Linked DNA regions of Drosophila melanogaster. The protein of the gene in region 2 interacts with the protein of the main gene of each other region in a pairwise test. Each region holds a gene or a part of one and is shown on either strand. Other genes may lie near its edges.

The links.
Region 1: the proteins of Cp110 (region 2) and Lk6 interact in a two-hybrid assay, tested with the Drosophila melanogaster proteins (one study listed by BioGRID).
Region 3: the proteins of Cp110 (region 2) and Cep97 interact in a two-hybrid assay, tested with the Drosophila melanogaster proteins (one study listed by BioGRID).
Region 4: the proteins of Cp110 (region 2) and ana3 interact in a two-hybrid assay, tested with the Drosophila melanogaster proteins (one study listed by BioGRID).

What each region holds. Positions count from the first base shown.
Region 1 is NT_033777.3:11,761,425-11,766,242, forward strand, and holds the start of Lk6 (Lk6 kinase), read right to left. Parts: upstream 3,034-4,818; 5' UTR 2,223-3,033; coding exon 2,060-2,222; intron 1-2,059.
Region 2 is NC_004354.4:22,480,476-22,487,987, reverse strand, and holds Cp110 (centriolar coiled coil protein 110kDa), read right to left. Parts: upstream 5,594-7,512; 5' UTR 5,448-5,593; exon of another isoform or gene 5,324-5,447; 5' UTR 5,252-5,323; coding exon 5,238-5,251; intron 5,150-5,237; coding exon of another isoform or gene 5,147-5,149; coding exon 4,966-5,146; intron 4,902-4,965; coding exon 3,462-4,901; intron 2,752-3,461; coding exon of another isoform or gene 2,737-2,751; exon of another isoform or gene 2,587-2,736; coding exon 2,353-2,586; exon of another isoform or gene 2,242-2,352; intron 2,046-2,241; coding exon 1,914-2,045; 3' UTR 1,904-1,913; exon of another isoform or gene 1,868-1,903; intron 931-1,867; 3' UTR 530-930; downstream 1-529. Other genes in the region: l(1)G0196 (lethal (1) G0196), read right to left, coding at 199-321; CG12576 (uncharacterized protein), read left to right, coding at 7,394-7,476.
Region 3 is NT_033779.5:3,865,802-3,871,925, reverse strand, and holds Cep97 (centrosomal protein 97kDa), read right to left. Parts: upstream 4,230-6,124; 5' UTR 3,945-4,229; coding exon 3,938-3,944; intron 3,547-3,937; coding exon 3,386-3,546; intron 3,323-3,385; coding exon 2,865-3,322; intron 2,809-2,864; coding exon 2,450-2,808; intron 2,384-2,449; coding exon 2,123-2,383; intron 2,054-2,122; coding exon 1,877-2,053; intron 1,837-1,876; exon of another isoform or gene 1,802-1,836; coding exon 1,372-1,801; intron 1,305-1,371; coding exon 737-1,304; 3' UTR 501-736; downstream 1-500. Other genes in the region: CG31957 (uncharacterized protein), read left to right, coding at 57-373; TTLL4B (tubulin tyrosine ligase-like 4B), read right to left, coding at 4,702-4,857, 4,940-5,948, 6,009-6,124.
Region 4 is NT_033778.4:12,342,984-12,350,985, forward strand, and holds the start of ana3 (anastral spindle 3), read left to right. Parts: upstream 1-1,999; 5' UTR 2,000-2,102; coding exon 2,103-5,540; intron 5,541-5,599; coding exon 5,600-8,002. UniProt on the Drosophila melanogaster protein: Participes in the structural integrity of both centrioles and basal bodies and in centriole cohesion. Participates in the later stages of centriole assembly through the interaction with Rcd4 leading to the centriole to centrosome conversion.

The DNA.
Region 1 (4,818 bases), on a different chromosome or scaffold from region 2:
AATAAATTTCTCTCTCAGGGCTTTTGCGCAAACGAGCAAGGGAGACAGAGATATATTGGGCTGATTTCATGAATCGGAGGAGGCTGCACGTAGGCACCACTAGATGTCCTCCTATCGATAGGCCTCGATAGAATGAAAAACTTCTCGATAATTATGGAAAATTATTATGGATCGTTGGGGGGAAAACAAGTTTCCAGCTGGTGGGCTCCAATTGACAGCGTTTTGCACTCAGTTGATTGCAGCTGCAAAATCCACTCCAGCACAACTCCTAATGGGCGCACACATTTTATATGTGTGGGAGGCCAAGCAACGAACGTCACACCAAGTGCAATAAACGTCATGAAGGTTATAATCGTAGTTTGTTCACATTTCGCCGCGTTCGCTGCATTTTGGGCACGAATACGCATTTGAACACGAGTGTCAGTGCATTACGCTCAATCGATCAGCCATCATGAGTCATTTTCCATTTCCATAACTGCCTGCACACGCTCAATTTCAATTTCTCGGTCTCGGCTAGCTGGCACAGATACTAGTGCCGTCTCTCTCACTTCGCCGGCAGCTTTGGTGGTGTTGGTGGAATGGCAGGGAAAAGGAATACCCTTTTGTGCTTGGAATCTAGTATTGCTTAAATTGATAATCATATTATGCGAATTTATACCAGTCAACTGGTCTAATTACAAAGGGTAACTATTGGTGCTGAAATCTACATATGTATGTGTGAATATATTCCTATTGTACAGCAGTTTACCCATATGGATTTCATGATTTTTCAAAGCAGCTCACTTATGCCCGATTTTATAGGATATTAGTGGAATTAGTGGATGTCAGTGGTCCAACCCAACCGTATCTAGCATATTTACACAACAATCTGTCCTGTTTCATAAGATTATCTTTGATAAACACAAAGTATGGACTATAATCACTATCTAAACGAAAACAACAAACTTCTAGTTTAACCTCCAGTTAGAATATGACTAATTAGTGGATTTAGTTGATCTTTGTCATTGTTATTTTATAGCATATATCAAATCCCACATATAATTAAGAACTTGTGTACAATAATAACACCCCCAGTGATGGTTATAAAGTCCAGATGCTGGAATACCCCTAAAATTAGGGCACATACACACTTATATTCAGCTTAATGGCCCCAGTCGAATGATGCAATGGGGTTCTCTTGGCGAAACAAAACAACTGTAAACACCACACAGACTGTGCGGGGTGGGTGAAGGGAAGCGGAGTGGGTGGTGGGGTTGGGCGCCGGCAGGCAGACAGCATGCATGTTCTCGAACATCGTGTGACGTCAAGGAAATACACTGCGGCACCCGGTGCGCAACGTGGCCCAGTCAGTCAATGCTCCCTAGTTCGTTCGATTGATTAGCAAGGGTAAACGAAACGAAAGTGCTGCCTGGCCCAGCTTTGCCGATAACTGACTAGAAATCCACTGAATGAAAGCGTAGGAGCAATGGTCGGGTCTTTTCTCTGATTGGTAGTCAGTCCCCACCCAATGACAAGCAGAATAATACATACATATGGTTAGGAACTTTAGAGGAAGTATAACTTCCGATACAAAATATTACATTAACGTATATCTTTTTTTTACCATTGCATTTTAGCAGAAATATCCTACAAATCGTATTTTATAGGTACAACTTTAAGAAGCAAAGAACGTTTGTCACATTCTCAAAATAATAATTATATGCTTAAATAAGGCTTTTGTTTTCTTTTGGCATGCAAATAACTGTTGCCTACGAAATATACTTTATATTTAGGCAATACAACAATATTACGACAGAGATACAGGTGAATTTCCAATAGGTAGAAGTTCAAATTTATACGAAAGAGCTGCCAAATTCACAGTCAGAGCAAATATTTGCAATTATTTCATCATTCTGTTAACATGTTGTCTAGTTAAAATTAAACTGGTGACACACGAAGCGCAAATATGCGAAATCTCTTCAGAAGGTTTCCAAAATATATCTCATGCATCACAGTTTGCTTCTCAGCTATGGGAATTTAGTGTCAAACTCCCAGAGTTCTAGAAACTCAAATTGCTCACCTGACTGACTCTGGCTGCAGCTGTTGTCCGTGTTGCTGCAGGAAATGCCGCTGCCACTCCGGATGCCGCTGTCCCCAGATCCACGGGGGTGGTTGTTGTTATTGTTGTTGCTTGCTTTCGCAGCAGCGGCAGAAGCAGCTGTCCCGGACTTGGGCTCCACCATGTTGTTGCTGTTGTTGTTACTGTACGGTGCTCCTGGACGCGATTAGAGTGAGACAGGCAGAGTGCTTACAAGCTGGAAAAAGGGTTTACGGTGCAACAAATGAGCAGCAGTTTTTCTCAGTCTCTCGTGCTCTTTCCTCTCTTCTCGTTCAGTTCATTCAAAATCAAAATGGTGGCCGCCTATGGGATTTTTGTGTTTTTAATACAATGCGGCGGTTGATGAAAAAACTGATTCAATTCTGCTGCAGATGCTCCTCTCTCTCTCTCTCTCTATCTATCGCTCTCCGCTGTTTATTTATTCTTGGTTTGGTGGTTGAGTCGTCGTTGGTGTGGCTGCTGTTGTTGTTGTAATCGATGGCTGCTGCTGATTTCTCTCATCACACAGGCGAAAAAAGCTCAAGCAAAAAATGGGGTTTATCTATTTGCACCGCTTTTTTCGGTTATCTGCGATATTTTTTGTTTTTTTCTTCGGGTATTGCGATTTTTGCGTTTCACCTCTTCTTTGTGGGCTTGGTGCAGTAGTGCTGTTGCTGTGGTTGTTGCTCTTGTAGTTGTTGGTGAGATGGTTGTTGTAGTGATGGAGGCGTTAATTTAGTTCTATTTTATTTTCCGGAGCTGCTGGAGATGGCTGGTGTGGCGGTGGAGTTGGTCGTTAAAATTTCCTCTGCTGATTACAACACAAAAAAAATCGCTGAATAGCGGACAAAAGCCGTTTTCTTTGCGTATTTCGCTTTAAGTTTCCTTCCCAGCTACCGATCCATTTTCAAAGTTCGAATGATTCCGACGAATGACGACGAATTCATCCGTGTGGCCGGAGGTACCATTTTGGTAGGACCGTTTTTCGGGCCAACGAAAATACCACAAGACGGCAGCGACACTAGGGTTTTTTGCTTCAAATGTAGTATGGCTACGCAACTCACATATGGTTGAGAACTTCGCTGTTTATTTGGTGGTTAAACTAGCTAAATACAATAAGAGTGGCAACGCCGTCACGTTTTCTACATGTATTTTACTTGGCGTAGTGCGCCAAGCTTATAAACCACAGTTGGGCGGTTCTTTTGAATTGTTTAATTTACACCCCACTATGAAACTTATTAGCCTTCTTTATTTATTTTATATTTTATTTTTGGGAAGAATACGTTTACTCAAGGTTCGCAGCTTGTCAATCAGTATTCGCAAATATCAATAATAAAAGGCATCAATTTTCCAATCAGCAGTTGAAAAGAACTCCCCTCGACATTTGAACAAAATGCATTTTTGGGTGATTATAATTTATTAGAATTTTTATTGACTTAAGGTAAATATAAATAAAATATTATTCAAGTACAAAGTTATATATACTCATTAATATTATTTGATTCAAGTAAATATATTTCAAAGTGGCGGTGTTTTATTATATCATTTTTCAATTAAGTACAATTTACTGTTCCTGCTCTATTTCTATGGGTTCGCAGAGAGTCCAAAAGTACTCTTAACACTCGGTCCTGTAAGGTGTGTATAATTTTCGGGCAGGCCATTTTCGGATTTGGCCCGACCGGAAAATATTGCGAGCCATTGACGACGCACCTGCAAGTTTTAAACCTGGCTTATTGACTCGTGATTTCCTCGTCTTTGAGACCCGGGGATCGAGTACTTGTGGGTACTTTGCGAACCCGGACTTCAAACCTTGCCCATGCAACAATTGTATCTTTGTGTAGTTTACGTTTAATCAATGAATTTGGATCACAAACAGTAAATACGTCTTTAACGATAATTGCAGTTGAATTAAACATATTAAGATAAGGGTAGTGGGGTGGGGGTACCTTTGTTTTAATTATAAAAATATTATATCTGCATTTTACATGTTTTTGTTTCGCTACTATCGTTTTTGCTCGAAATTACATAAGTCCAGCCTTAAAACAAGTAATTTTCGTCACCAATCGCATTCGCGCACGCTCCATTATCCATAACACTCGGTTTCGTCATCAATTCAATTCAATTCAATTTTGCATTTAAACGCTACGTTGCCTTAACTTCAGTCCTTTCGCAGAAAATCTAACCCTTAAATGTATTTAGCTCTTCGCCCGTCGATCCTTTTTCTTCCCTCCTTCCTTCCTTCACATCCCCCGCATGCTGCAGACACTAAACATAAATTCAATACGTACAGTTTCAAATTGGATGCGCGGCATCGTATCGTCGTTTAATGTAAAAGGTGTAATGCTACGCGCCCTTTTCGTCTGATCCTTGCCCTAAATGCCATCCTAGGGTATTAATCCATCCACCTCTAACTACAATTTAACTTCTCTTTGGCCGCAAACCCCCCGCATTACTTATTTAGCTCCTGTAAATATGAACTGCTTATGTTTCGCTTACGCTCCTTCGATCATTTTTGTGTTTGCTTTTGTTTTTGTGTTTATAATTTATTTAAATGCACTAAAAGTTGCACGGACCGTTTGCCAGCAGCCTGTGAAGTCGATCGTCGTCGGTTCGGCTGTGTTGCGATCTAGATCTATCCTGTAATTGTCGATTTTATACCTTCGATAAGCCAATGAAGTGTGAGAAAATATGTATCTATTTCGTCATTTGTTTGTTCGTTCGTTATGCATTTTAGTTGGTTG
Region 2 (7,512 bases):
GTTTAAATACTTTTTCAATGCTCATAATTTTATATTTCACATTCTTATAAAACACTATTTAAAATTAAATAAAAATCGATTTGACTTGTTTTAAAAATAAATACGTGCATGTATAGCACATATAGTATGCAAATAAAAAAAATTATGTGTTTTAGTGGGTTACGCTAGATTTTAGTGGTAAAACGGTGGAGCGCATACGTTGCCATCCTGTAATCCCAAGTAGAAACCGACCCGCTGCTGCGGCTGACTTTGATGCGGATTTTGCTGCTGATGCTGCTGGGATATATCCTGGTACCCTGATTCCAACTCGGTGTAGGACATGGTAATCCTTTGTGTTGGTGTTAGTGCGAGTTATCCAAACAAAACAAGGAGCAAACAACAACACTGGGAAACGTTTTTCGTATTCTGTTTTTACATTTTTCACTCTCACCCCCACGCACGCAACTTTGCCGCGTGTTAAAAATATAAGTGTGCGCTTATATTTTTGTTAACGATTTTTTCTCTCACTGTCCTTCGATTTACGAGTTACGAAATCTGTTATTGGTGTGGTTTTATTATTTGTATTATTATTTTTTCAATTTGGTGTGTCGTTCTAAATTCGCCGCCGGCGGAATTATGGAATTGGGTGGGCAAGGCACGCGGGCAGCTGGGTGAATAACAGGATGAGCGGGAGGTCGGCCAATTGCTGTGGGTTACGTGCTCACTAATAATTAATTGTTATTAAACTAGTTTTCTCTCGCTTTTGATTATTTGTCTGCCTTTGCTGTTTTCTTTTAAGGCCATCACACGCACACACGACTACTCGCTTTAAAAGTTCCGTTTGTTTTGGCAATCCGCCGCAGCTTTCAGGGCGAATTTGTCTAGAAAGCTCCGCAATGTCTTGAAAGCTTGGCTGCAAAAAATCACGCGGGCTTTTGCCAAACAGCTGTTCTGTAAATCAAGAAAGAAAAGGTATTAAAAGGTATTAAAAAGATAATAGAGAGATATAACCAAAAATAAGTATATAAATGTATTTCAGTTCAATATTGCGACTAGTATGTATATTTGTTTGTTAGAATTGCTTATTAATCGTAAGAATTAATTTGTGTATGTAGTTAAGGATACTACCGAATCTACCCATTAAATTTTATATTATTTTAATATTTTTTTAATATTTAATATTTAAAAATATACTTAATATTTAAGTATTAACATATACATATTTTCTTCCATTTCAGCTCAAATATATATATTCCATAATACAAATTAAATAATAACAAGAGAGATTGCTATAGTCGGCTATCAGATACCCGTTACTCAGCTAATGAATATGCCAACGCAAAGTTGGGAAATAAAATGAGAAAAAATATATATGTAAATGGTTCGAGTTGTGGGCGCTGTGGGCCAAACGCCGTTTTGGGAGTTTTTTTTTATTATATATCGATAGAAATGGGCAAAACAAGCAAAAAAACGTAGAAAAAACAAAACATTTTTCAAAAGTGTGGGCTTGACAGCTTTTGGCTGTTTTTAGGCGTTAGAGTGGGCGTGGCAGAGTTTTTTGGCAAATCGCGTCTATGTCTCTGGAAGCTGCATGATAAATCTGAACATTCTAGCCTGTATAGTTTCTGAGATCCTGACGTTCATACGGACGTAATGACAGACGGACGTGGCCAGATCGACTCGTCTAGCGATCCTGATCAAGAATATATATACTTTTTATAATGGGAAACGCTTTCTTCTATCTGTTACATACTTTTCAACGAATATAGTATACCCATTTACTCGTAGAGTACAAAAAGGGTACAAAAATGTAAAAATGTATAGAGAGAAAGTGGAACCAGAAAACTTAAACTTAATAAAAATGTGTTTAGTTAAAACAAGAATGCTTCGTTTATCGTTTCCTCCTTTATTCGAGCAATCTAACCTATGAAATCCTAATCCAATCGGCGATGTTTGAGGAGTAGTTTGGTCTTGATCCTCTGGCGATCCCGAGCGATGATCTCCATGCGGTCCTTTATGTTGGTCTGGAAGAAGATCAGGTGCAGGGTACGACTGGCGGAGCAGAGCTATGAGTTAATTCAATGAATATAAAGGAAAAAGTAGTCAGCTTGTATTAAGTTTGCAAACAAGGCAATTTCAAATCAAATATTTATATAAAATCGCATTAATTATTCTAAAATACCAGTAGTTTTGGTTTTGCTTACTCAAAGTTAAACCAAAGTCAATGTAAGCACAGTAGGTAACACTGCAGTCGAGTTTTTTGACTATCGCATACCCTTCACTCAGATAATAATTAATTTCTAGTTTTATCATCCAAGCCTAATGTACACATTTGGCACCTTTTACACCTAGACAAGTAACCAAGTAACCCACCTGTTGAAGCAATCGCGCCTTGAGGCGCAAGTTTGCAGGCTCCTCTGCATCCAGGCCATGTCCACAAGTTTCCAGGTGCAGGTTCAACACGAAGATCAGGGTGTCTCTGATGGTTTGGACAATGCGCTGCACTTGCTCGGTTGCAAAAAGCCGGCGGACCAAAAATCCTCGCACACCGGCATTAATACGTGTGGCCGCCCACTGGCGCTCTTCCTGTTTCAGCTCGACATATTTCTGGCAGGGATTAGAGGCGAAATTAAACAGGGAACGAAGGCACTTGCTAGTTGGGTTAGTAATTAGGTTAGCTACTGGTGCTAGAGGCTTGGTCCCTCGATTTCCTCGCAGTCTTTGTTAAGGCACTTGCATAACTGACTACCCGAATTGCTAGGGCTTCTTGCGCTGTTTGTGTTGGGGAAGAGGAAATAATAGAATGGGAGTACAGGAAATAGATATTACAGATTATATCGCCAAGGTTTTCACTTTTTTAGGGATAAAATACCTAATTATTATATTAAGTGATTATGCTAAGAATATCAATATCAATATCAATATAAAGCAAAAAAGAATGCTATCAGATACCCGTTACTCAGCTAGTGGATATGCAAACTAGAAATTTCATCATAATTTTTCTGGGATATCGATACAAAATTGGGAATAAAATGAGAAAAAATTTAAAAATTAATTAAAAATGTCAATAGAAATGTACATGTCTAATAAAATTGTGAAAAATATCCAACATATATTCAAGCTTTTATAGTTCCTGAGATTTTGACGTTCATACGAACAGACGGATATGGCCGGACCGACTCGGCTATAGATCCTGATCAAGAATATATATACTTTATATGGTCGGAAACGATTCATTCTGCCTGTAGCATACTATTCAACGAATCTAGTATACCCTTTTACTCTAAGAGTAACGGGTATAAAAATAGAGGACCATAAATAAAAAATCGTTAATGCTTTAGTTAAATAAAAGGAAAGGTCAAATAGCAGAGATTTAAAGTAAGAGTCCAACCAAATTAGCTGCTAACTTAGGTTGGCACAAATGAAAACCTTTGTGACTTAAAGCAAATAAAATATCGCTCAGATTCGCTTGAAAAACTTACATTGCCCAGCCGCTTGGTCGGTGAGGCGCTTTTTGGTGGGGCGCTTCCCCTTTTCGCTATAATGGAGCTATTTTTTCCCGGGGAACTTTTCGGTCGTCCTGCTCCACCTCCAGGCTTCGCTGGCGATTTCTTCACCTCGCGGTCTGCTGCGGTGATTGTTTTTACTAGACTACCGCCCACAGATTGCGATCGGCGCCGGACAACTTGGACACTTCGTCTGCTATTGGTTAAGCTGCTGTTCCGGAGGGGCAACGATCGCGGTGTGCTGGGGGCACTGAGCAGCTGCGGTTCCGAGTCCTTTGATGGTTTTGGACTAAACAGCCTCTTGCGAGCGGAAGAAGGCCCCGCAATTTGGCACTTGTCTTCCATCGTCGGAAAGTCTTCTATGTCCTCTGAAAAGGAGGGTAACGTAGGCGAGGGGGAAAAACGCTGCAGGTCTCCCGTACTGGTGCTTTGCGATATCAGACTGTCAGGATTTTCGGTGGCCGAGGAAACATCAATTTCGGCACACAGTTCCTCTATGAGCTGACGCTGCTGATGATCAAACTCGGCCTGCATGCGACGACGTTCCTTCTCCTGGTGAATGACCAATTGATTCATTCGCTCCCGATGGCCACGCAGATAGTTGCGCACTCCTGCCTTGCGGCTGGCTTCCAAAGCGCCATGCTCGTCCAGCGCCCGTTCTATTATACGCTCCACCTCGCGATCCCGCCTAGAACAGCTGCTGCCGGCGGTTGTGGTTTTAGTGGCGATGGTGCTCTTGGTTGCGGCGCTACTGTTGCTATTGTAGCTGTTGTGGCTAATTTTGCTGCTAATACTCCTTGCACTACGGTTCACCCGCTTGGCCTGAGACTCGATGGTCTGCTTCTCGAAGTTGGCCAAACTCTGGCTGGGTTTCACAGCCAGGGCCTCCCTCTCCATGTGCTCCACGAGAACCTGGGAGGGCTCCTCTAGTGTGAAACTTCTCGAACGCTGAAAATTAGCTGGTTCTGCCAGTGGACTGCCGAGCTCCCTTGCCGTTGTGTCCTTTGTATCCTGATCCTGCTGGTCTTCGGCTACCGCAGGACTTGTGCGCAGGATACACTTATCTGGAACTTTGGGCAGCAGCTTACCCAGTCCCGACTGCTCGAACTGCAGGATACGATCGGTAATGCGATTATGCCGCCTTGGGGAAGTGTTTTCTATTGATTTCACAAATGGTTGAGGCGTGGGAGGATCCACCTGTATGGTGGGCAACTGTTTGCCAAAGACCAGAGTCTGAGGACGAGCCTGGCCCCGTGTGCTGTCATAGATTAACGTTTCTGTCTGCTGCAGCTGTGACACACTTCTCCTACTGGCCATGTCGGATCCCGCCGAGTGTCTGGCCAGGCGGTACCGCTTCTCCAGCGCTTCTGCCATCTGGCGGGCCAGCTGCACCTCGCGCTTCTTGGCGCTCGTCATCTGGAACAAAGTAAAATGGTTACGCCTCAGTAAATGCCACTCCCTGACCAAGAATTTAAATCACCAGCGGTGGCAGTATAGGCTGCCCGTCCAAGTGGAACCGAAAGGAGACAGGGTCCATGGAACTAGAGCCACTGCCCTCGGAGGGGGCGCTCCAGATCGATATGGTGGTCGTGGCCGTTGGTGTGGTGGCCTCGCTGTGGCTACCTCCCATCTCAACTGCAGACAGCAGCTGCTCCATTGCCCTGCTTAATTGGAGAAGCATTAGATTGAGCAAAATCAGTAATTAGAAGCCCGTAAGCAACCGGGATTCATAAAATCCCAAGACCCACTCACCACGTCGCATCCATTGGTGTTTTGCTACTGGGAATTTTTGTTGGGACGTCGAAATGTCAGGAAGCCTTCTCAGAGGTCAGCTGAATCTAGGTGTTTTGTGAAAGTTCATTAAATGTCTGCTATGTTTTAGTTGCCATTAGAGATGACGATGGCACTAGGGAGCCCTCGACTTCCCGCCAAAAATTAGGAAACCTCTGAAGAGTTCATTACATCAATCAAATGATATCCCGAATCGTTGAGAGTTTTGTATTCAATGTTTCTACCGTGGATCGCAGCTACCATCAAGAGCCAATGAGAAATGCTGCTTTAATGCTGGGGAAAACATTTATTTTCAAACGGCAATTCAAAACTCACACGAAGTCCATGCAGCCCTGACGTCAGATATCGATAACCGGACTTTTGGAAGTAGCGTTTTTAGAGAAAATTTGAGGACTCCACAGATTAGCAGAGGAACAAGTTTTCAGTCCTTCCAGAATTATAGTAAAGAAAACGGTGGATTAAATTAGTGTTCAGGAACTTATATTGTATATTTCGTATGCTTCAAAATCTTGTCAAAATTAAAGAAACATTGTCTGCGAAAACTTAACTTTTATTGGTTCTTAACAAACTAATTTGAAACAGCTGGCCGAATTCAACAGTTTACTAGGTGGTTATCGAAACTGGTGTGGTACATTTTGGTATTTGATTTGCGCCGGATGGTATTTTCCTTCGCCGTGCGCGCGGTCACATTCACTGGATGTGTTTTTTTGCGCTGATTGTTGCTCTGGCGCGATCGAATTTGCCTGGAATTCGGGAGTCAACATAATATTTTCGAAAGTCACCAGCTATAGCGAAAAGTATGCGAGTTCTATTACAGCTTGTCGATATGTTGTGTTCGTAACTTCTGTTTGCATATGTTATGTGTGTGTGTTATCTAGTTACAAAACGATCTAAAACCGTTTTTGCAAAGAACGTCCGCAAAACTGAGTTTGTACTTCAAATATGAACTATTTGCGGTTTATATTGCTCCAGATTTCTCTCTTTAAAGTTGCATTGTAGATGCAGTCGTGTGTGTGTGCGTGAGATGGGAGTGCAATTTTTTTTCAACAGTATCAGCTTTGTTTTTTAAGTAGAATACAAGTAATTTTTACCCCTAACTTTATTCCTAGCCCCTTTCCTTTATAAAAATACGGTAAAAGTGTAAGGAAAACAAAAACAAAAAGCGCAAAGTTTCGCACATATATGTGTACATATGCATACACACGCTGAGTGTGGTGTTTCTGTATTGTTTTTTTTTTTGTGTTTCATTCTGCGACGCAATTGAAAAAGACATCGAAGGCCAAACAACTTGGTGTTTTTTACGTTTTGTATGGCTGTAGTTGCTGTTGTTGCTGCTCAGTTGGGCGTTAGTGTTTGGCTCCGTTCTTATTATTATTATTACAACTTTTCCACGCGCTTCGCTCTCTGTTTCTCTTCCACATGCTTGCTTTCGTCCTCTCCCACGCTGCATTGCTGTCTCACTCGCACACAGCCGGTAAGCCAAGCAGCAAACAGCAACAACAACAGCAACGGCGGCGACAATAAATTATGAAAAACAAGGGAATAAGTTGATGAAATAAGTATTTCGAATTAAATGGTTAATCACTGGTGGAAAAGTCGCAGTTCCAATGACACCTTTTCCATGCTGAACTACGGAGTTTTTTTTTGTTCTTAATCGGTATACGTTTGTGAAAACAAGTGCGCTTGTGTGAGTGAGACAGGGCCTCAAAAGCCAGAAAAACATGACAAAAACATTTTGGTAAATTGCCATGTATCCGAAATAATGCTCATGCAACAGTTACATATAAATATTGTTATTTTATTTTCTACGCAGTAGTCGCGGATTTTCAACAAAGAGCAATCATAGTGATGGTATAAAAGAGGGGAAGGACGAAAGCAAAGAGAGCAAACCGAAAACAGTTACTCTGCCCATGCGCACAGCTGACCCAGAACCTGGCATAACGGTAAAGTAATTGTGTCGTACAACAAGCGAAACTTGACAGCGAAAGGGAACCGGAAGTCGCCTAAAATCGCGGAGCGGAAAGGAAATCAGTCCGCCAACCGCGGGAGCTGAAAATCGAAATCACAACCCACAAAAGCGATTCCAAAGTGCTATCTTGGTGCTACTCCCATACAAAATGTTCCAAGTCCTGCCCCGTCCGTCAAGATCCACGTTCCACTGCATAGCGGCAGCCGTTGTCACAGTCGTCCTAATGTCATGGTAAGTCGAAGTAACAATCCATCCAGAATTTTGCCA
Region 3 (6,124 bases), on a different chromosome or scaffold from region 2:
CAACTCATTTCATGTTGATACTTAATAATGAATTTGTATCCTTCTGACCCTTTTAGTTTCGATGCCCAACAAATTCCGCAAGAGCATGTGGGTGAAACGTGGCGACTTTCTGCTGGTCGAACCGATTGAGGAGGGCGATAAAGTCAAAGCCGAGATTTGCAAAATACTCACACCCGAACATATAAAGGAATACACAAAAGCTGCAATTTGGCCGGATAAATTCACAAAGAAACCTGTACAGGAGGAAGCCACCAGCCAAAACAAAGACGACTCCGATTTCGAGGATGATCTCCTGCCCAATACAAATCGGCCTGTAAATCGCGATTCCTCCGACGAAGAGGAAGATGAGGAAACATCCAGCGAAGAGGACTGAACGATGTACAAACACACACATAGTTAGGTTATTTACAAATTTGTCAAACTTAATTAAAAAAAAACTGTTGGTTAATGCTGGTGTTGTTTTTGAACAAAATCTGCCCGCAATCAAGAACACCTTTTGTGCTTTACAAAAATTTGTATTTACGATTTGTTCATACTATTGTTAAGTCTTCCACCATCGCTGCATCTCAGGAATGTAACAAAGTAATGTGTTTGTGAATGCTGGTGCTACTTCTAAGTTCTCGTAACCGATCTAATATTGTTGCAAAAGCTACACAAAAGCCTAAGAAAGGAATTAATAAGCGCTGAGATCGACCCTTAAAGCGTTTATACTCCTCATTTATTAACTGGGATTTGTTCATGGATCTTTATCAAGATTTTCCGAGTCTTCTTGGGTCTCCTTCAGGTCGACATCATTCAATTCATCGATTTTGGGACAAGCCAGAGCAGCTTCGTGCTTGGATTCTAGGGCCAAGGTTGAGGGCCTTGTTTTGGTGAATGGAAAATTGGTGAGGTCCTCTATTTGCGGCGTGTGTACGGCAATGAGGTCCGTCTGAGTGGAGCTGCAATCAATGATCTCGGCCTGCTTCTTAATAGCGTCCTGCGGCAGATTGCACACCATTGTGAGGCAGTTGACGATGGTTCCAATCGAGCTTTGCAGCATTTGAACCTGATCGGTGAGCATGGTGCATCTTTTCGCCAAATCATTTACCACGGCGGCTGAATTTTGATCGAGACTCAGGTGGCCAGACCCTCCGCCATTGGAGTCCTCGCCCTGTTCCGCAGCAGCAGGTATTCCCTTGGGATCCACCTCCATGGTGGACACCTTTTTCCACAGCGCATTGATGGCCTGCATCTGCAGCTGCTGAATCTTTCGCTCGTTCTCGAGCTGGGCCTTCGTAAGTAGCATATCCTTGCCGAGTTGTCTGAGGAATGCGACAGATAGAGCATTAGAAAGTTGCGATATATGTTGCCTAAAACGAGACCACCTACTCGATATACTCCTGTGTGCGTCGTCGCTGCAATCGCTCGGCTATGTCCTTGTTGGTCTTCTTGCGTGTGTGATAGCCTCGCCACATCTTTTGGATGGTAACGGCCGAGGACTCTGTCACGTGCTCGATCAGCCGATCCTGGCAGTTCAGGTTGTTGTCCACCTGCTGCTTCAGCTGCTCCTGATGCATCTGCTGTTGCTTCTGAGCGGCCATCTTCCGGATTGCTCTCAGTTTCTCTATGTTGATTTGCTCGCCGTCGTCGTCGGTGCTGAAGCCACCGCTATCGGCCAAAACAGCCGATTGCTGGAGTTTCTCCGGTGCCTGCATGTTGTCCGCGCTGCACTTATTGGCCATCCTCCGTGGACTGCTCGTAGGGCTTTGGTTCCTCTTCAGTTGTGGACTTCGCACTCTTGGCAAGTTCAGTTTGTTGTCTGTAGTGTAAATGTGTATGTATGTTTTAGAAATCTGTGTCGTTTTAAAAGTCTAGAGTAACAACTACTGGCTACCTTTATTTTTGTTGATCTTGGTCTTGTGCAGCTGAGGGTTCAGTGCCGTAACCGTAACTCTTTGGGCCACAGCGGCGGGACAGACATCCGGGCTCATCAGAGTCTCCGGAACTGGGACCATTTTCGAGGCAGCCGCCAATGGACCACCAGATGGGGTTTGACTGATGAACGTTTGATCTGTGGAATTGTTGTTTACTATTAACATCATTTTCCACTCTTGCATTGAATATATTTTAATTGTCATACCATTGTAGGGATTGGGTGTTATATTCCGTGGCGTGGACTCCGTGGAATTGTATGTCTTGGTGGTCACGCTGCTGGACATTCCGCTGCCGGCCAAACTAAAGCCTTCGCCATCGTTTTTAATGTTCTCAATGAGCGAAATGCTCATTTGCAGCGAATGATTCGTAGATCCATTGTCGCTAACAATGCTATTGTTGCTGCTGTTCCCGTGATAGCTATTCACCATGGACTCCGGTGATCCCTGGCGGCCACTCAAGCGGGAGACTTTAAATCGAAGACAGAAAAATATAAGTTATATGAAAAAGCATAGATAGGGAGTTAATAACTTACATCTGGGCGACTGAATGCGACTCGTGGGCTTCTTGCGATGGGATGAGGGCGAAGTGCTGGCAGAACTATTTGCGTTATCCATGATCTCTTCCTGCAGCTGCCGCTGATGGTGTTGCGCCTTGCTGAGGATCAGCCGGAGTTTCCTATCGTTTTCATTTTCCAGCGCCTTGCCCACCAGCGGGCACACAGAACTTAGGTATTTTGCCAAGCCCTGCTGCTCGCCCACACGGAACTGGCGACCACGTCCCTGGCTATACAGCCATTCGGCCTTAAGACTCTCAATAGGATCGACCACAAAGCCATCGATGTACTTGAGGCTCATGCACCAGTTTAAAACAAAAGGTCGGTAATCAAAGCCACTGCAAGAGATGTTACATTTTAAGCGCAATCCATATGATCCATTAAGCTAACTCACTCCAAACTGTTGATCATGGTCACACAGGGATTATCCGCAATGGAAATGCTCAGCAAGTTGCTCAGATGCGACAGCGTACAGATCTCGTTGAGATCGTTGATGCTATTCTTGGCCAACGTTAGGGTTTCCAGTGAGGTGGGCAAACACTTGTCGCACTGCCTCAGATGCGTCAAGCGATTTCCGTGCAAATATAGCTCCTTGAGATTGCGCAAATAGGACATATCCGAAATGCTGCCAATGCTATTATCCGCCAGATTCAGGCACTCCAGATTGACATTCGTGTTCAGATGCTCGATGGTCTTGATGTTATTCCCCTCCAGATTCAGAACGCGCAGATGGATGCATTCCTTCAGGCCCTCGATAGAGAGTATGCCATTGAAGGACAGATTCAGTTCACGCAGGCAATGCAGCCGGCAGACGCCATACATGCGCAGCAATTGATTTCTGGCCAAGGAGAGCTGAAATATTTGAATTTCTGTTAATTAGGAACTTGTTTCTTTTCGCAGAACGTTGCAAGTCACCGTTTCAATTTTGAGATACGAGTCTATGTTGTCGATCTTCTGCAGCTCGTTCTCGTCCAGGATGAGCTGCCGTATGCTGTGCGCATCGTCCTGCTTGGGCACCTTCTTCAGCTTTTGCTTGGACAAGTTCAGGACGTGCTTCTCCTCGCCACTTTCGTCGCCTGTTTGGGTTAACAAAGCACAGTGGGTAGAAACTAAGGTTTACCACTTCATACTTATTATGCATTAAACACAATATCAGAATTATGTAAAACAAAAAGCCCAAAAAGGAAATACATAATGCAAGCTTCACTGTATACGTGTGCATGTTACAAAATTGATGACTTCATCGAGGGGTCCGCACTTTTCAAGAAGTTGGAGAGGAGGTCAGGGCGCAGGTGCGTCCTTTTTAGCCAGGACCTCGAAGCCCCCGGCCCGCTGAACATTAACCCCAACTCCCCAAAAGCAGACTGCAAATTCCCATACAGTCAGCACGCAAATCCCAATCCCCGCAAATCATATTATTAGTTACTAATATATAGTGCCCATTCTTGCATAGAACTGGCTTCTTACCACTCATTTTTCTGATTGGCAGGCCGAAATTCCAACGCTGCGGTCAATTTTTTTTTAATCAGCAGATACTTAGCGAAAAATCAATGGGCCACTCTTTTTTCCACGCAGTTTCAGATTGGCAATTTCCCAAGTGTGCAGCTCAGCTGTTCCACTTGCAGTCCTTTGGTTTCAAGCCGGGTTTATAATTCAGTCCACGCCATGATTTGCAAACTTAATTTTTATTTTAGCGCCGTGCAATACAGTGAATTTTTGTTTATTGTTATTATACTACGTCTATCGATAATTGGAGGCGTGATGTCGTTATCGGCAGCTTGAAAACTCAAGACTGCGCCGCTAGTTATCGATTGCACTTCCTTAGACTTATCGCAACTGCCAAAGCCCGCGTAGTTCAAAAAGCTTAGTACTGTGCTGAGCAATTACCCAATAAGAAAACCGATACTCTTTACAGTTTACAGTGTTCGCATAAAGAATAAATAATAAGAACTAAATTTAAATAAAATATTTATTTTCATAATTTTTTTAAACACCCCGTAGTGTTTTATATTTACTGAAATGACGTGTGATCCAATTTCTAGCTGGATGCCAAAACAGGCTATTGCCACCAAAGACGATCGAAGTTAAGTGAATTTACTGAGCGGATACAATTCCGGAGCACATCTGCACGGGATGCTGGCACAGCTGTGAGCTGGTAACGGAAACGGGAATGGAAATGGCAATGGCAATGGAAGAAGCAATGGTGATAGTGCTGATAGTTCGGTTCAATTTCAGGACTTGATCTCGATGCAGGCATCCGGAATCGGCGCCACCTCGCAGCCCTCCTGGACAACGGGCTTAAGTATGGCCAGCGTGGTGGCACCGTCCAAGACCTCATCCTTTCGCACGTGCAGCATATCGATCTCGGTAAGTGCAACATTTGGTTCCTAGATAAGAAATATGACTTGAAAATGGACTACAGAAGCGGTACGGAAGGGGAAATTCAATTGAATTGAATTGATCGTTCACCTTTTCCATGGCGGCGTCCGACACCTGTAAATGGTATTTGTCCCGGCAATAGCGCGACAGCAAGGCAATGCCCATTTCCCTATTCTTGGCGTACTTCGTCTCCCAGGCGTCCAGCAGGCGATTATAGTACCGGGCATTCTCGACATAGCGCAGATATACATGTGTGCCGGCGGTGGGGAAGATCCGTTCCAGCGGCTGACACCTGGCCAGCTCGTCCTCGGCAACGATCAGGCAACGGACATCGTCCGGCAGTAGATTGTCCAGTATGGTATCAACGTACTCCTCCCGGAATTCGATGCTCCGATTGGTGTACTGGTTATGTTTGCGGACCTCCTCTGCAGTCAGGCAGGTGGTGAAGATGCGTTTGTCATGGCACAACGGACCGGTCAGATTAAGCTCCTCCAGGATGTCCGCCTGCTGACGTTCGTTCAGCTTAGGCGGCACCTGATATAGAGCCGTATTCAGCACGGCCTGAATGAGCGGACCCTTCACGTGCAGATCCAGTGGCAATTCCGAATGCAACGACGGCGATATATTTATCTCCAACAGCCAGGGCACTAGATTCTCATCCAGGAGCACATCGAAGCCAAACAACTCGAAGCAATTGTAGCGAAAGTTCACATTCTGGCGGTACATGCGATTCAATCCCGATTCCCCGCTCACGATGCCCTTGATGACCAGATTCCGTAGCGTGGCCCACAGGCGCTTAGTGTTCACGCCACGATTCTCCAGGCAGGACCACAGCGATTGAAGCGTCCACTTGTGGCCCTGGCAGGCATTGAAATCCTCGTTCTTCGCATAGTTCTGCGAGAACTTGTTGATGCTGTAGTTGGTCAGGTGCATGCAGCGCTCGTCCAGATTGCTCAGCTCCGAGCTGTACTTAACGGACGCGAAACGCGCCAGTCCATCCTTGTACATATAGATGCGGAGTGGGTTGATCGAGGTCAGTACCACATACAGACGCATATCGAACTTATTGTCGTTGATCAACAGCGGACGTTCAATGTATCTGAAGTGGGGTTTAGGGTTAGGGAAGATTTTTAAAGAAGACGAAGTTATGGGCACCCACTTCTGAACCACCAGAGGACGATCTTTGGGAAATTGGCTCCACTTGTTCACAATGCGTATGCCCGTGCCTCGGGCACTCGCCGGCGGCTTAACAATCCACTTGGTCAGCTTCGAGGC
Region 4 (8,002 bases), on a different chromosome or scaffold from region 2:
GAGTGAGTCACAGGTCGAAGCTGTTTGTTTATGCCATTCGTTTGCCATAAAAAATAGAGCAACAATTGAAATAGTCGGTTTTGAGCAATCCGAAAAGTGCTTCGTGAATGATTAGTGGAACTCAAAGTTCCCACTTCCTATCGCAATGTGCTTATCTACATATTAATAATAAGAATAATATGTTGTTACGATTTGATTATTCTATTAAGAATGCCTTTCAACATATCGCAGTCTGCTAATTGAACTGCCAGACATTCGAATTTTGAATGCAGTGAGTGCATTATAATCAAGTTCGCACTTTCAAATTGCGGTTGGGGTGAATATTCACGGGGGGGGTGGTGACAATTTGTCTGCCCGTGATTTTGAATAACAAACGAATAAAATGGGTAAAATTGCCAAGAGCATGCTATATGAAGTTCAAAGCACTCTGTATAATGAATGGCAATTATTTTAAATTGGTTTGTAAGCCAGAAATGTTCAGTAGAGCCGGGTTTTTCGTATTTTAAAGTTACAAATAGAAATTCACACTTTAATAGCTCAAAGTCTCATGAGGCCGGTTCCTAGAACTCACTCATAATATTTAATGGAATATCTTTTATAAGCCATTCAAAGTTTGATACTAATGGGTTGCAGTGACACAAATCAAATGGCAAACATTTTCCTGGTGCAATATAAATCTTTTTTGCTTCAGTCGGTCGAAGTTCAATGGGTGGAGATGCGGGACGATAATGGTCCAATAATCGGGCACTTAAGTGGCCAATCCGATAAGATTAGCCATAAATAATAATGAACTTGTTGCTTAGCTCCCCTTTTTGGCTCAGTGTCCAAAATATTCAATTGTAAATTACTCGAGCGACATCCAATCGGAATGTCAATCGCAGTTGCATGCCATTTCTAATTAGAAAAGAGTAGACGGGCCATTGATTTCCAACTGGATGGTGAGATATACATATGTACATATATGTACGCAAAAGGTGGAAAAGCGAAGGTTGCGACCGGCGAAATGGTTTCTGGGGTGTGGTAGGGGCGGCATCGGGGCGAGGGAGTTACCCGGGCGTGCGCCAGTGACATCATTTCGCTATTTCCATTTTCATTTCCAGCATATGCTTTGTTTGCACTACGAATTCATCAAGTGTCATTTGGCACTATGTGCGTACACTGTGCACATGTATGTGTGAGTAAAGTTTGTTTGCCTCAAAAATAAAGCAAACAAAAACATAAACTTAAAACAACACAATCCAACCGATGACGTCACGAGGGAGCCTTTTTATTGTTCAAAATGGAACAATGAATGGGTCACAAGGATAAGAATGATCAGAAATAGCACTTTGTTGAAGTTTAAATTGCAAATAACCGGTTGGCGAACAATGATTAGCGGTTACAAAGCGTTTGGCTGTATTCACAATCGCACAGCTACACTTTAGAGCGGCACGTAAACAAAACGATATGAAACCCAAGATAAGCATTTATACACACACACACACAGAGAGAAAAGTCTAGTTCTCCACCGCAGCGGCAAACAAACTCTATTATTTACCCGCTAAGCACAAACTCAAGTCCAATCAGATGGGCGACTTTTTTTTAAACCTACAGCGCTAGCGTGACCGTGCTTGCCATGCTGGGAAATAACAAACTCGGTTGCGACCAAATTATCGATAGACAAATATGGCAATTTAATACGCGTAGTTTAGTTTTGGTGAAATAAGGCAAATATCAGAGGCATAATTTATAAGATTATTAAGTAAAACCATATAAATAATATAAAAATAAAACAATTAGATGAATAAAAGTTCTTCAACAAAAAAGGGATTAGGTTCAAGTAATTGTTTATTATGTGTGAAAAGCACCTAATTCTTAGGGAGCAATAAAAGATTGATGCGGAATATTGTTCGTTGTTGCTGATGCGAGGTGTCAGGTGGAGAAATACTATTTTAATAGGTTTAGTATTTTTAGACCCTTATGCAGGGAACGCACACTCAAGCAGAGTGGCAACGCCAGCCAAAATTCGAGTTTGACGCTTTCAAAAATGACATCCTAAAACGTTTGCTGCCTGGAAGAGAAGTGAAAACGAACTAAAAGTCGGGTATTATTAGTCTAAGGAAATGAGTACCAAACAGAGCCCGGCCCTCCAGCTGGCGGAGGGGCAGCTAACCAAGCTGACTAGCGAATCGGAAGAGATCCGTATGCGCGCGCTCGACCAGATTGAGACGAGATTCATCAGGTGCCTGCAACTGGGCGAGCCGATACAGTTCAAGCCGGTCCTGCTGCTGAAGCAGCTCATCCGCTGGTTCGGGTACACACCGCCGCTGGTGCCCGACCGTGTGCTGGCCATGATTATGGAACTCCTTCGATCCGAGTACGCCGAGGCGGTGATTCGCAAGATTCCTTACGAACGCTTCAAGGCCGAGCTGCAGAAGGTTCGCCGTGTGCTACACAAGCAGGAGTCCAAGCGGGTCAGCGAATTGCTGGATGATATGAATTTGCTGCTTCTCGAGAAGTACAACATAGACCGGGTGACGCCGAGCGTCTCCAGCCTTAGTTCAAATGACATTCCCAGTCAGGCAACTGAATCCGCAGACAGCAGTTCGAATCAGATTTACGACAATCTGAAACCGGAAGATTACGAGCCCTCCTGGTCGCATCCGTGCTTGGACGATGTGGCCACCATGAAGAGCATGATTGATTTGCCACGAAATAGCGTTGAGTTGCAGTTGCAGCTCACCGAACTGATCATCCGTATGGGCGACTACCCAACTGAGTACTTTCTGCAGCCACCGTTCGTATTCTTGCATCTGGTTCAGTTGCAAACGATGACTGACGGTAGCCTGATACATGTGAACCGGGCACTAATTGCCTGCCTGCGGCTGCTGCAGCAGCGCATCTTGTTGCGCCGAAACACTCTGAGCTACGCGGACAGGTTCGATCCTCCGTCACGCCCCAAGCAAGTGAAGGTGGTGAGCGCCTTGGTAATTCTGCTGGAAAATTGCATGAAGCTGATTCGTCCGTTGCTGTTCAGCTGCACAAACGACAACTGGCACATAATGGAGCTGATCGTGGAAATAGTGCGGACCCACGATGTTCTCAGCTCAAAAATTCCCTTAGTGAGCATTACGCTCATCGCGGACGCGGTCAAAAGTCTGCTGGCGTATTGTAACAGTGTAGAAGGCAGTTGCATGACCCAGCTGATGGACTCGCTCAGGATTCCCCGCCTGCAATCGCTGATCCTTAACGGCGTGCTGCACGATATGGTGGCCTTAAATATAAACTATGACAAACGCATGGACCGACGCCAAGCCAAAGCACTCATCCAACCTATAGTTTTGGACAGCGCTTACCTGTCTGGCATGCCCGAGCGCATGAAGTCGCTAAACACTCTAATATCGTCTTTGGATTCTGGACCATCACCGGACGAGGAGTTGATCAAGCTGAAGCGGGCCTACAGCGTGGCCCTAAATCAATTACATCCGAATACGGAACTGACTGGGTCGCTGCTAATCCAGAAGTACAGACAAGTGTGCCTTGTGCTCGTCCAACTGGGCAGTGAGACATTGGTAAAGCAGCTCTTCGGAGCTGTTGTAAAATGCATTCCATTCTACGCGGGCAATTTAAAGCTAAGAAAGGATGCGGATGAGCTGCTTTACACCCTTGTTGATTTGCCTGCTCTCAAACTTCGTTCACTTATATATCGTTTAATGATCAAATCCACCGTGGCCCACTTTCATTCCTTTATGAACAAGACAGTCTATATGACCGGCTGCAGCAATGTGGATCTGATTCGTCAGCATATCTTAGGCGTGCCGCTAACTCCCCTGCTGTTACGCAGAATGATAATTCAGAGTTCGGAAGCAAATACTTCGGAACGTATGCAGCAGTGGTGCCTCGACTATCCTATAATGATTATGAAGCTAAACGCTATTCTAGCTCCGCAGGATTTCAGCGTTGTTTTCCCGTTGCTACTCCCCGTGCTGCCTCTGCTGATCAGCAGGTCGGTTACACACAAGATATTGCACAACGTCATATGGAACGTTTTAGAGCCGGACTCCAGCCGTTTGGATCCGCAATTGATGCTGCGCGGGTACGTTTACTTCATGTTCCATCCGGATGGCGAGGTTAGGAGCGAGGCCACCACTACAATTGCTTACGTGCTGCAATGTCAGGAGCAAACGAATAGATATTTGCCCACCGCAAGCAACGTACCGGTTGAGCACATCGCCAACGATCTCTGCATAATTCAACCACCATTCTGTTATAGAAGCATTTTCATCAAATGCTCTGATGAGCGGTTTCAAGGTCAGCGCAGCTTGGACGCCCTGTTCCGATTACTCCAGGCCAAGGACATAAAGTCGAATATCCGAAAGTCAACAATGACTCAATTAAATGTCTTGCTACGAAACTGGAGAGCTTGTGAGGAATTCTCCACAAAGGAGGATGGATATCGACTGATTATGGAGTCTCTGCACAACGCTCTGAAAAAGGGGAACGACACTGATATTCTGCTGCCCACTGTGAGTATCCTGATGAAGCTTCTGTTCAATGACGATGAGTTTCGATTAGAAGTCGCGAACACATTCGGGGTGTACACTTTACTGCTGAGGGCTTTATTCTTGTTCCCCCACTTGGAACAGTTGCGCCAGGATGTCAGTATATGCCTGTTCCAAATGCTGTTCCAGAATTGTATCACCTCCACTGAAGACAAACTGGTACTGAATGCGAATATGGAACCCCTGATTTTGCCTGTAACCTATGAAATTGAACATAAAGTTATACCCACTGCCGTTACGGAAGGATTGGAGCTGCAACAAAATGTGGAGGCGACCCATTTCGGGCGAGATAGGGCAAAAGCTGCACAGCATTGGCGACTGTATATGGCCTATCGCGTTTGCCAGGTTCCATCCAGCATTACTTTGGAGTCTGTGAGCGCTTTGGATATAAGGGAGTCTCTTAAGATCAAAATGGCCGATTTGGCGTTAGTAAGATCCTCCGACTTAAATGAGCAGCTAAGTTGTCAGTTTATCGCAGCGGAGAATTGCAGCAAACACGAGGATCTGCAAAAAACTGTGTCGGCCATTCAGCTATTTCTCGTGGTTCTGCGAAACTCATTAAGTGATACGGTGGCTGAGAACTTGTGGAAATTAATCCATAAGTACATCCGCTTAGCGCCGGGGAACGAAGCGGATGACAAGGTGTACAAGTCCATGCTGGATCTGTGCGTAACATGCATTCGCTTCAGCCAGCCACATGCTATCAACGGACTGAGCTACGCTCTGGAAACGGATCATCATCACAGCTTCCAATTACTCCTGCACGATAGCCAAATTTCTCTGGATAAGCTATTCCTGATTTGCCAGTGCATGATGCAGCTTTTGTCCAACGAGCTCAGTGATGATTCGATGAACTGGTATGGCAAGTTCTTTATGCAATTGAGTGCCGTGGCCAAGACGCACTTTGAATTGCGCCAGCTGCAGCACGTTCGCTGCATACTTTGCATGCTGCGCTTTGTAAGCGAGCGAAATCTGAAATTTAGTAATGCTCAGTTGATGGTGAGTAAAGGATCATCGTCATTAGATATTGATTTCTTACCTTGAATTTTTGTCCGCAGAGCTACTCTCAGCATTTTATCCAATTGTCCAGCAATTTACGTACCTCAACTCAAACCGGATCCGAGTGGCAGCGGGACTGCTTGTACATAATCTGTCAGCTCCAGATCCATCTAATATATCAGGAGCCAAAGGCGTCCAGCAAGGCCAGTATCCCAAACGATGTCGGAGCTTCATATAAGGTCTTGCGCTATTTCTTAACACTTTGCGGGCACGGTGACAGTGAAGTGCGTGCATTGTCCTGGGTATCGTTGGCCAATTGGATAACCATCTGTGGCTCGCAGGTAGCAGAAATTCTGCCTCGCCTGGATTTTCTACCCGGCGGACTGCCGGCTTGCTGTTTAACCACTCTGACGGATGCCCACGAAATGATGCTGATCAGGGAGTTGGCCGGACGAGTATTTATCCTTCTGATGCCGCTCATTGGTGCCGAAAGTAGCTTGGAATTGTTGCGGAAACATGACTTACTAAAGACCGCCTACAATTCGCTGAAAGCAATTCACGACACTCCCTGGATGTTCAAGAAGATAGTTGGTGAGCGGCATTCGTGTGAAGTAATTAGCTGCTATGTTGCCATATGCACCAAAATGGTGGCCATGAAGCCAGAGTGGTGTGCCGCGCTCTGCGGCCACAGTTTGATGAGTGGTCTCAGCGATGTGATGAAAAAACTCAAGTCGCAGGCGTCCTGTTCGATTCCGCTTGTGGAACTGTGTGCATCCCAAATTTGTGAATTGTACTCGATGTGCTACACTAATAACTTTGAGTTCCTTAAGATGACGATTTGTCGAGATTCTGTATTCTTGCAGAATTATTTAACGCTGATCAACGATGTTTTGAGTTTGGAATGTCCCGAGTACATGGTGATTCCCCTATTAAAGATGTTTCTCATATTCTGCACGGACTCGAATTCGAACTCATTTCTCATCGAACAGATAAAGAATAAGCCATCTCTATTCATGGATTTCTTCCTGTTTGGATTGCATGTGAAGCTTATTAATTCGCCATTTCAGCGCTTTACTCTGTCAGCATTATCACTTGTGTTCACCAAAGCTCAACTTGCTGCGTATGATATAAGCATGCTAAGTGAGTTGGAGAAGTTCGAATTAGCATTCAGTGATCCTGATATTGCTAAAGATGGCAAACAAGAATTCGAGTCAAAAAAGAAGCAATCTGTATCGCAATGCATCTACGATGAATCCTCGGATAATTCGGATGACAATAAGCAAAGGCCAAACCATGCGATCCAGGCCACTAATGCGGCTATTATAATTTTCCATCGCTTGGATCAGCTCTTTGACCGTTACTATCTATCGAAGGCCTTAAACTTTTTGGAACTTCCTGCAGTGGGCCAGGTGCAGGTTTGTGAAGCACTCGGCGAACTGCTTAAGGCATCAACCTGGGCCGTGAAAGCAGCCGGAGAATCGAAGCTGCTTGGCAAGGTAGTTCACATTCTGGACGATTTTCTCAATGACGAAAAAATCGGAAACGCCGCCGTCTATGTGAAGCGAGTGGGACCTCACAAGGCGCAAAGTATCATAAGCAATCTCTTGGTACTGATTAACATGCTATCCCAATGGCATAGTTCTCCCAATTCTGAGATCATCCAGACCAGTATGGCTGCGAATATCGCCAAAATCCTCATCCGCATTTGGCCTTGGTTATCGCACTCGTATCACTTAAAAAAGGTTACTGTCCAGCTGATTATGTTCCTTACGGAGCATTCATTCGAAATGTGTAAACAGATATCCCTGCTTCAGTCGGGACATGCCCAATCCCTGCTACACCTAATGGCTCGCGTCGCTGACTTCGAGACCACCAAGAAGGAGATTCCAAACAAAGAGCCATCTCTGAATATGGTGCCCGCACTAAGGGTTATGGTAAACTGCTGTTGCTGCACCGAGGGTCGGCTGAGTTTGTCCAAAATGAATTTGCTGGATATGTTTGACACAATCCTTCCTGCTAATCCGTGCTCAACACATCTTAAAGTGCGACCACCTGTACTGATTGCATGGCTCGGATTCTGGGAGGTATTTTCCCGGTACGACGTAGGAGGAAAGGCTTGCCATCTTCAATCTCTTATAAACACGATTCGGCGTAGTCCTCCATTGAGTCACAAGCGGATCCTGTGCCTTCGAATACTCCGCAACATGTGCTTCTTCAATGGTAATCGCCCCCGGCTCGTGGAGCTGGCTGACTTTATTAACCTGCTGCGTGATATTTTGGAGCAGAGGGTCCAAAAAGCACCCACATCCGAGAAAAACGGGCTGAACTCCTTCGAGGAGCACCGCCTGGCTGTCCTCATGTTGTGGAAACTCTTCGGTTTCGGTGCCAAATATAAGGGCATGCTGCGGGGCACCAAGCTCTTTAAACTGCTGATTGGCCTTCGGGTGGAGATGTCGGTGGTC